Canis lupus familiaris: one gene and its partner. The protein of the gene in region 1 interacts with the protein of each later gene in a biochemical or structural test. Links are inferred from orthologs where the notes say so. Each region holds a gene or a part of one and is shown in the gene's direction. Other genes may lie near its edges.

Region 1 (4,370 bases):
ATGTAGTGACTAAAGGAATGAGGGTAAAGAGGAAAAGATAAAGAATAAAATTTGAATTCTACTTCAGAGAGCATAGTTATAGATATCTTTGTGGTAGTAAATGTGTTCCCAGACGCTTCCAAAGATTTGTTCTTGGGATCCCTGGGTGGCGCAGCGGTTTGGCGCCTGCCTTTGGCCCAGGGCACGACCCTGGAGACCCAGGATCGAATCCCACGTCGGGCTCCCGCTGGATGGAGCCTGCTTCTCCCTCTGCCTGTGTCTCTGCCTCTCTCTCTCTGTGTGACTATCATAAAAACAAACAAACAAACAAAAAAAAACACAAAGATTTGTTCTTATTAAATTTACACTGCTGTGCCTGCTCACCTGAACTGCAGTTGTCTGCTGGAATGGCTTTGGAGGATGTTTGAATAGCATTTTTGAAATATGGAGAAATTCTGAGACTGAAAAGCCAGTAGAAATCCACTACTTAGTATCCTTACAGTGAACTAGGTAAAATCCAACTTTACAGCGGCTATTTTCAAAGATTTGTTTGGAAAAAGAACATTAAAAACAAAACAAAACAAAACCAAGCCTTAACTACGTCGAGAACTTCCACCAAATGCTAGTTTTGTATTTTAGCCTGGTCCTTCAGTTCCGGTGGCCATAAACTTCTCATCATTACTCCAAATTTCTCCACGTGAGGAGACAGGACTGCGCATTCTTTGTATTGTGGAGTACAAGCTAAACTGCTTGTTTTACTATGATTACCAGATAGGAACACTAGTAGTCATACACCTTAGTATATAATTAAAAGCATCCGATGCTCTGACTGCTACAAGTTTACCTTAATTTAAAACCTCCCAGATCTTAAAAAACAAAAAACAAAAAACCCCAAAACCAAAAAACCGTTATTGCGTGAGAAATATTTCTGAAATTTGAGGAAAAAATTGGGAAATGGGAATTAAGTGAATTGGGCTGGCTTGGAACGCTGTGTTACAAAGACCCAATACCATTTTCATGTTTCCACCTAGTATCTCAATAAAGCGTATTATCTTTTATTTTATATTATTTTATTTATTCACGAGAGACAGAGAGAGAGAGAGAGAGAGACAGAGACAGAGACACAGGCAGAGGGAGAAGTCGGCTCCATGCAGGGAGCCCGACATGGGACTCGATCCCAGGTCTCCAGGATCATGCCCCAGGCTGAAGACGGCGCTAAACCGCTGAGCCACCCGGGCTGCCCAGCGTATTATCTTCAACAAAATATTTCTGGTACCTATATTCTTTGAAATGCTAGTCAGTAAAGAGATCCCAGGATTTTAATTTACGAACTCCTTTGCCACTTGGAAGCGAGGTTGAGCGCCAGCAGACGGCAAACACGGTACTCGAGAGCAGTAAGTAAACCTTCAGGTGACCGAAAGCTAAGGGAAGGCGTGATTAGAAGAATCTCGCGAGAAGCACTGCATTCACTATTTTTCGCGATATTTTGGTGCCCAGCCTTTTTCCTATCTCTCGCAGGATCACGGTTAATCTCGCGATATTTGGGAAGTTCCGTTGGGAAGATGGCGGCGGCCGGGAGCGCCCTTCTCTTCTTGCCGCCGGGGACTTCAGACTGAGCCTTCCCGGGAAGAGTGGGGACGGTTGTTCCCCTGCCTCCCGGGAGCCCGAACCAACTTGGTTCCCTCGTTAGTGGTGGGGAAGGGTTTATCCTCTTGTGTAGGACTCAGGACCTCCCCACCGTCAGGATGAAGGCTCAGGGGGAAACCGAGGGTGAGTGACTTGAGGGGGAATGCAGGGGGCGGGACGCAGCTTGGGGGAGCCAATCTGTGAGAGGAGCTGGGGTGGGGGTGGCCCGATGCCTCTGCAGGGGCAACGCTCCTGAGGTCGTGGAGTCCAGGAGGCGGGATAGCTTCTGACTGTGCCTTCGTTGGTGATGCAAGGATCTGAGTCTCGGGTGATGGGGGCTCTCAACTTCTATGAAGGTTTCCTGCATAGCTAGGGACAATCACTTGGGCCTCGGAACGTTTTTAGCCTAAAGTTGATGGAAGACCAGGCGAGTGAATCTAAAACCTGCTTACACCTCGTTTCAGAAGAGATATCTGAATAATGACATTAAAAAAATACAGAGCTGTGTGTCAAATATCGGAGAATGTTTTGGCGTGAATGAAATGATTAGGACCTTATGATTTTAAAAGCTAGTAGTTCCATGGAACGTTACAATGTCCAGACTTACACTATTGTATGTTTATGAAATGCGTTGAATTTCATCCTTTCAATGGCTGGACTAACTCACAACTGCTGAAAAACAACTTTTCTGTGGAACCTTACTTAGATTCTCTAAAGTCCTACACTCTTAAATGCTTCCTTAGCATTTTGGATATAGTTTTGTTAATAAGGATCACTGTATTATGTTTACCCATCTTCTCCACTTTGAGCACCTTGTCTTACGCATCGTTGTGTAGTACCTGGCACAAAAAGTGTTTGATCATTCGTGTAAAGTATTTATCATCAGGCTTCTCAAGGAAAAGGGAGGGGAGTATTTTAAAGGAGAGGAAGAAAAAAGGTATACTCCTTGGGTGCAGAGGATTGGTGAATGTAAAATGGAAACTTGATGAGGCAGGAATTTTGTCTAGTTTGCTCATTTCTATATCCCCAGCACATAAAATCATGTGTGAATGAGTCTTGAAAGTGGGAATTGCCAACAATGTGTCCAGAACTGTAAGCTGGCTGAAACAGTCCCCAAACCGGTTTTCCAGAAGATGAGGACATTGGAGGAAGGAATTTGAATCTTGATTTAGAAAATGTCACTGCGTTAACTCTGATTGCTGAGATTATTTATCTTTCAATGCCAATATCAACTGTCACCTTTTCTGTAATCTCCCCACAACTAATAATGAGATTTTCCTTTTTTGTGTTTCAATTGTAATGTGTCTGTTTTTAACAGCATATCTCATTTTGCTTTCTGTGATGGTTATTTCCACGTTAACTTACGCACACCCCTTCACAGATACCATCTCAGGTGTATTGAGTTTTTGCATTGCCAGTGGTCTCTAGAACAGGTCCTAAGAAGTGTAAGAATTAGAGGAAGGATCACCTATATTTCAAAAGTAAAAAATTTAATAGAAATAAAGCTATAGTTCAGTAGTAAAATAACAAAAATTCAAAAATAAAAATTATAATTCAGTAATAAAAATTAGGAAGGCTGGAGAGCATAAGATCTTTGTTCACTCATAGCCCAGGAAACTGAGGACTTTTCCACCTTTCTCTTAGCTCTGCTAGAAGCTCATCCTTTAGTCATTGACATATTTCCTATCCATATAGTTTTAGTTTGAATTCAAACAGGAAAAATGAAAATGGCAAATACAGCCTATTTTCTTGATAATACTTCTGTATTGTTCTCTTAGAATTACATCAAAGTCTGCATTTCACATTGAAAACCAACTAACCAAAGTAAGGCCATGTTCAAATGTATGCTTTTCATATATCATGCAAGGGATTCATGCATATCATGAAATGATTTTGTCACTAACCCCAAAACAGTCTTGTAGTCTTGACCCCAAAACATGGTTAGAGGTGGTTCTTTTTTTGGTTTTCATTAAAAGACTGGATAGAAATCAGTTATGTTCTGTGGTGCTCATTAGTTTAGAACCCAATTTCTGTGTCATTTTGTTATTAAAAGTAAATAATTTGTATGTTTTGAAGTAAATGGTATTGAAAAATATTTCAACTGAGTTCTTACCAGGTTGAAGTGTGGGAGTTTCTTTTTGCAAGAAAGATTGTGGAAGGTCTGGAAAGGAAAGTTTCTAATAATGTTTTCTGATTTATATCGTAGAATCGGAGAAGCTGAGTAAGATGAGTTCTCTCTTGGAACGGCTCCATGCAAAATTTAACCAAAATAGACCTTGGAGTGAAACCATTAAGCTTGTGCGTCAAGTCATGGTGAGGATTAATGTAATGGATAAAGTGTTATGCTTAGATAATTATTTAATAAGCTAAGCTCCCTTTGTAAATTTTTTTCAAACTAGTTATTATAGGGTATCTCCTCAGCTTTTTTGAAAGAGAGAGAGGTGGGCAGGGAGTAGGTTGGGGGGTCGGTCAGAGGGAGAAGGAAAGAGAGACTCTTAAAGGACCCTGAGATCATGACCTGAGCCGAAATCAAGAGTCAGACCAACTGAGCCACCCAGGCACCTCAAGCCACTTGATTCTAACGAAATAGTATTTTCATTGTATATATACTTCTACTAGAGTTTGCAATTGATTTTTTTTTTTTAAGATTTTATTTATTTTTCATGAGAGAGAGAGAGAGAGAGAGAGGCAGAGACATAGACAGAAGGAGAAGCAGGCTCCATGCAGGGAGCCCGGGCCTCCAGGATCACGCCCTGGGCCGAAGG
Region 2 (3,631 bases), about 520 kb from region 1:
TGAGAGAGGGCATCTTGCATCGCATCGGCTAGAGATCAAATAGCAGGGTCTTCTAGTAACCACTTATTGGAACCCTTTAGACCAGGATATGCGAGTCACCTGGATCAGCTCAAATTAGCATTGATGTGGTCGCACTGATTCTCATGATCCCAGACTGCGCCACCCAACTGCTAGGTGATTTGGGAAGTCACTTAACCTTTCTGGCCCTCAGTTTCCCAACCTGTACATTGGGAGGAGTAGTTTCTGAACAGGTTGTGGAGAGTGCCATGCAAAGGGCATCGTGTCTCTCTGCTGTTGATAGTGGTTCTAGATGACTCAAAGCGGGTGGCCAAGCGCAAGCTGATTGAGCAGAACCGGGAGAGACGACGGAAGGAGGAAATGATCCGATCACTGCAGCAGCGACCAGAGCCCACTCCCGAAGAGTGGGACCTGATCCATGTTGCCACAGAGGCCCATCGCAGCACGAATGCCCAGGGTAGCCACTGGAAGCAGAGGCGGAAATTCCTGGTAAGGAGAGAGGCCTCCCCGCCCCCCCCCCAAGAGCTGCAGCCAGGTGACCAGGAGGGAGAGTGAGTTCAGAGTCTTGCCTCCTTCAGGAAGCCTTCTTAGTTTAATCTGACCCAAAGCTGATGCTCTCTACAATTTGGCAATCCTGACTCATACACCTGAGTATATGTTGCTGCTGTCTGAGCATGGCCTATTTCATCAGACTGGGGGGCTCCATGAGGACAGGACCTGGCCTTCCTCCTTGAATTTCCAGAGAGCATGGGTAGCTGCTGCTCTTTTCCCTGCCCACAGTGACTGAGAAGAGAGGGTGAAGACTCAGTTATGTAACAGCATTTCGGGGCCCCTGATGGGTGCCAGGCATTGCGTTAGGCCCTGGCAAAACAGAGTGCTCAGTGAATGGTCAGTTAGGGAAGAGATGGACAGTTGGTTGTATATGGTGAGTAAAGGCAGAAAACTGGTGTCTGGTTCCCGGTGGAGTGTGCCAGTGGGTGGAACAGTACACTGTTCAGAGCACAGGCTGCAAGACCAAGCATATGTGTGTATAATGGTCAGGAGTCAGACTGCCTGAGTTTTAATCCTGGTTCTGCCACTTACTAGTCATGTGCTTATTACTTGGCTTATTACTTGGGCTTATTACTTAGCTACACTATGCCTCAGTTTTCTCATCTGTGAAATGGTGGCAAGTAGAACATCCTCCTCATAAGGTTAAATGAGATATATAAAACATAGCCTAGTGTCTCCTGTATTAAATATTCAGTAAACATAGCTTCTATTATTATGTTATTATTTCTACTACTGTTATGATCATTGTTATTATTAGCCGACTTGGAGCTCTGGCTCTGCTCTGTTTCCTGCCCCAAGGTGAAGGAGAAGCCTTAGGTCCTGGATGGGGCCTTCCCCACATACTGGTGGCCCCTCTTCCCCAACCTGCCTTGGAGCTCCCCCTGGTGGGCAGGCAGCCTCAGTGAGAGGTTGAAAGGGGTCTGCAGCCCCAGCTGACCCCTTCTTCTTCTTTAGCCGGATGACATCGGCCAGTCACCCATCGTCTCCATGCCGGATGGAGACAAGGTGGACCTAGAGGCCTTCAGCGAGTTTACCAAGATCATCACCCCGGCCATCACCCGTGTGGTGGACTTTGCCAAAAAACTGCCCATGTTCTCCGAGGTGAGTAGCTGATGGGAAGAGGCATGGTGCCACACTGGAAGAAAACCTGGGGCTGCTCCCTAGGTCACTTGGTGTCAGCACATGCTCATCTGAGGTTCTCTGGACAGGGAGCGATTCCTGTAGGTCAGCACACAGCTAACACACACACATACCCAGTGCCTATAACACACACACACACACACACACACACACACACACAGCCCATGCCTAAGGAACCAAAGGCTCCAAGTCCCCAGCCTCGCCAACCCTTCCCTACCCCTCTCCCCCCACATCTACATAGCCATCCTGGCTATAGCAGCGTGAGCACCACCTCTGGGCACAGACTGCCCTCCTAGCTGTGGGATCTTGGCCATGTTACCTACCCACGGACCTCATTTTCCTCCTTGGCAGTGGGATGGAGCTAATGATGGGAGGTAACTCACATAGGCGTAATTGTGAGGTTTAATGGCTTAGGCCATGCCCATGGCCCCAGAGCAAGGTTAGCCGCTTGGAGTACACCTTACTGGCTGAGGCCAGTGGTGACCTCCTGGCTCCCAAAGGGCACCCACAGGAGACAGGAGGGGCATGCTGAGTGTTCCTGTGGCCCTGCCACTCTGCAGCTGCCTTGCGAAGACCAGATCATCCTCCTGAAGGGGTGCTGCATGGAGATCATGTCCCTGCGGGCGGCTGTCCGCTATGACCCAGAGAGCGACACCCTGACGCTGAGCGGGGAGATGGCCGTCAAGCGGGAGCAGCTCAAGAATGGCGGCCTGGGCGTGGTCTCTGACGCCATCTTTGAACTGGGCAAGTCACTTTCTGCCTTTAACCTGGATGATACAGAAGTGGCTCTGCTGCAGGCTGTGCTGCTAATGTCAACAGGTACCTGCCTACCAGCTGGGAGGGCTCAGAAGCTTCCAGGGGCCCAGAGGTTGGGTGGGCCCTGGGCACATCACACTCTTCTTCCCTGACCCCTATAGTTTTTCTCTGCTTCCCTTTGTCACTGAGCCCATTCTCTGTCCCCTGTGCTCTGCTCTGTCACCAATACCCCCTGGGTTCTGATGTCCAGGCCCATCTGTTGCCTGCCCATGCCTCCTCTGCTCCTCGTCCCATGTTTACCCCGTTCTTTCTCTCTGCCGCCCCCCCCCCCATCCGTTCTGTTGCCTGGATTCGCCTTTGTTCCCCACCCCCAGCCACCTTCTATCCCTCATCCCTCCTCAGTGCCCAGTCCCCTCTCCCTGTGCCTCCTCCCCTCTGCACTTCCTCCCACCAGCCCTGTCTCCAGGTTTCCCCTCCCTTCCCACCTCTCAGCCCCTCTGTGGTCTTTATTCCTTACCTCTTCAAGCCCCCAGCACCCCAGCCTCCTCCTCAGCTGGGCCTCTGGCTCCAGCTCCAGTGCATGTACTACAGCGGGTTTCTCACCCCTCCCCCACCCTGGCTCCTCTGCCTCAGTCTCCCTTCGCTGGCTCAACCCCCCCCTCCCCCTGCACGTCCCTCCTTCCCCACAGATCGCTCGGGCCTGCTGTGTGTGGACAAGATCGAGAAGAGTCAGGAGGCATACCTGCTGGCGTTTGAGCACTACGTCAACCACCGCAAACACAACATTCCGCACTTCTGGCCCAAGCTGCTGATGAAGGTGACTGACCTCCGCATGATCGGGGCCTGCCACGCCAGCCGCTTCCTCCACATGAAAGTCGAGTGCCCCACCGAACTGTTCCCCCCACTCTTCCTCGAGGTCTTTGAGGATCAGGAAGTCTAAAGCCTCAGGCGGCCAGAGGGTGTGCGGAGCTGGTGGGGAGGAGCGTGGAGAGAAAGGGCAGAGCTGGGGGGCTGCGGGAGGCCCCCCACCCCTCCTCTCTCCTTCCTCTCCCACACACCCCCCTCCCCGCACTGCCCATCCCTCCTCAGAACCTCCAGCCCTGGGACAGGGCAAACACATGAACTTGCTATGAAAAGGACAGTGTGGGAGGTTGGGGGGCCGTGT

Evidence for each region. The genes of interacting proteins can lie anywhere in the genome.
Region 2: the proteins of MED1 (region 1) and THRA form a complex in vitro, tested with the Homo sapiens proteins (6 studies listed by BioGRID, with this or other methods). The link is inferred for Canis lupus familiaris from reciprocal best matches to the Homo sapiens genes MED1 and THRA.

The regions. Positions count from the first base shown.
Region 1 is NC_049230.1:22,939,961-22,944,330, forward strand, and holds the start of MED1 (mediator of RNA polymerase II transcription subunit 1), read left to right. Parts: upstream 1-1,509; 5' UTR 1,510-1,724; coding exon 1,725-1,749; intron 1,750-3,811; coding exon 3,812-3,918; intron 3,919-4,370. UniProt on the Homo sapiens protein: Component of the Mediator complex, a coactivator involved in the regulated transcription of nearly all RNA polymerase II-dependent genes.
Region 2 is NC_049230.1:22,422,752-22,426,382, reverse strand, and holds part of THRA (thyroid hormone receptor alpha), read left to right. Parts: intron 1-301; coding exon 302-507; intron 508-1,524; coding exon 1,525-1,671; intron 1,672-2,270; coding exon 2,271-2,529; intron 2,530-3,155; coding exon 3,156-3,406; 3' UTR 3,407-3,631.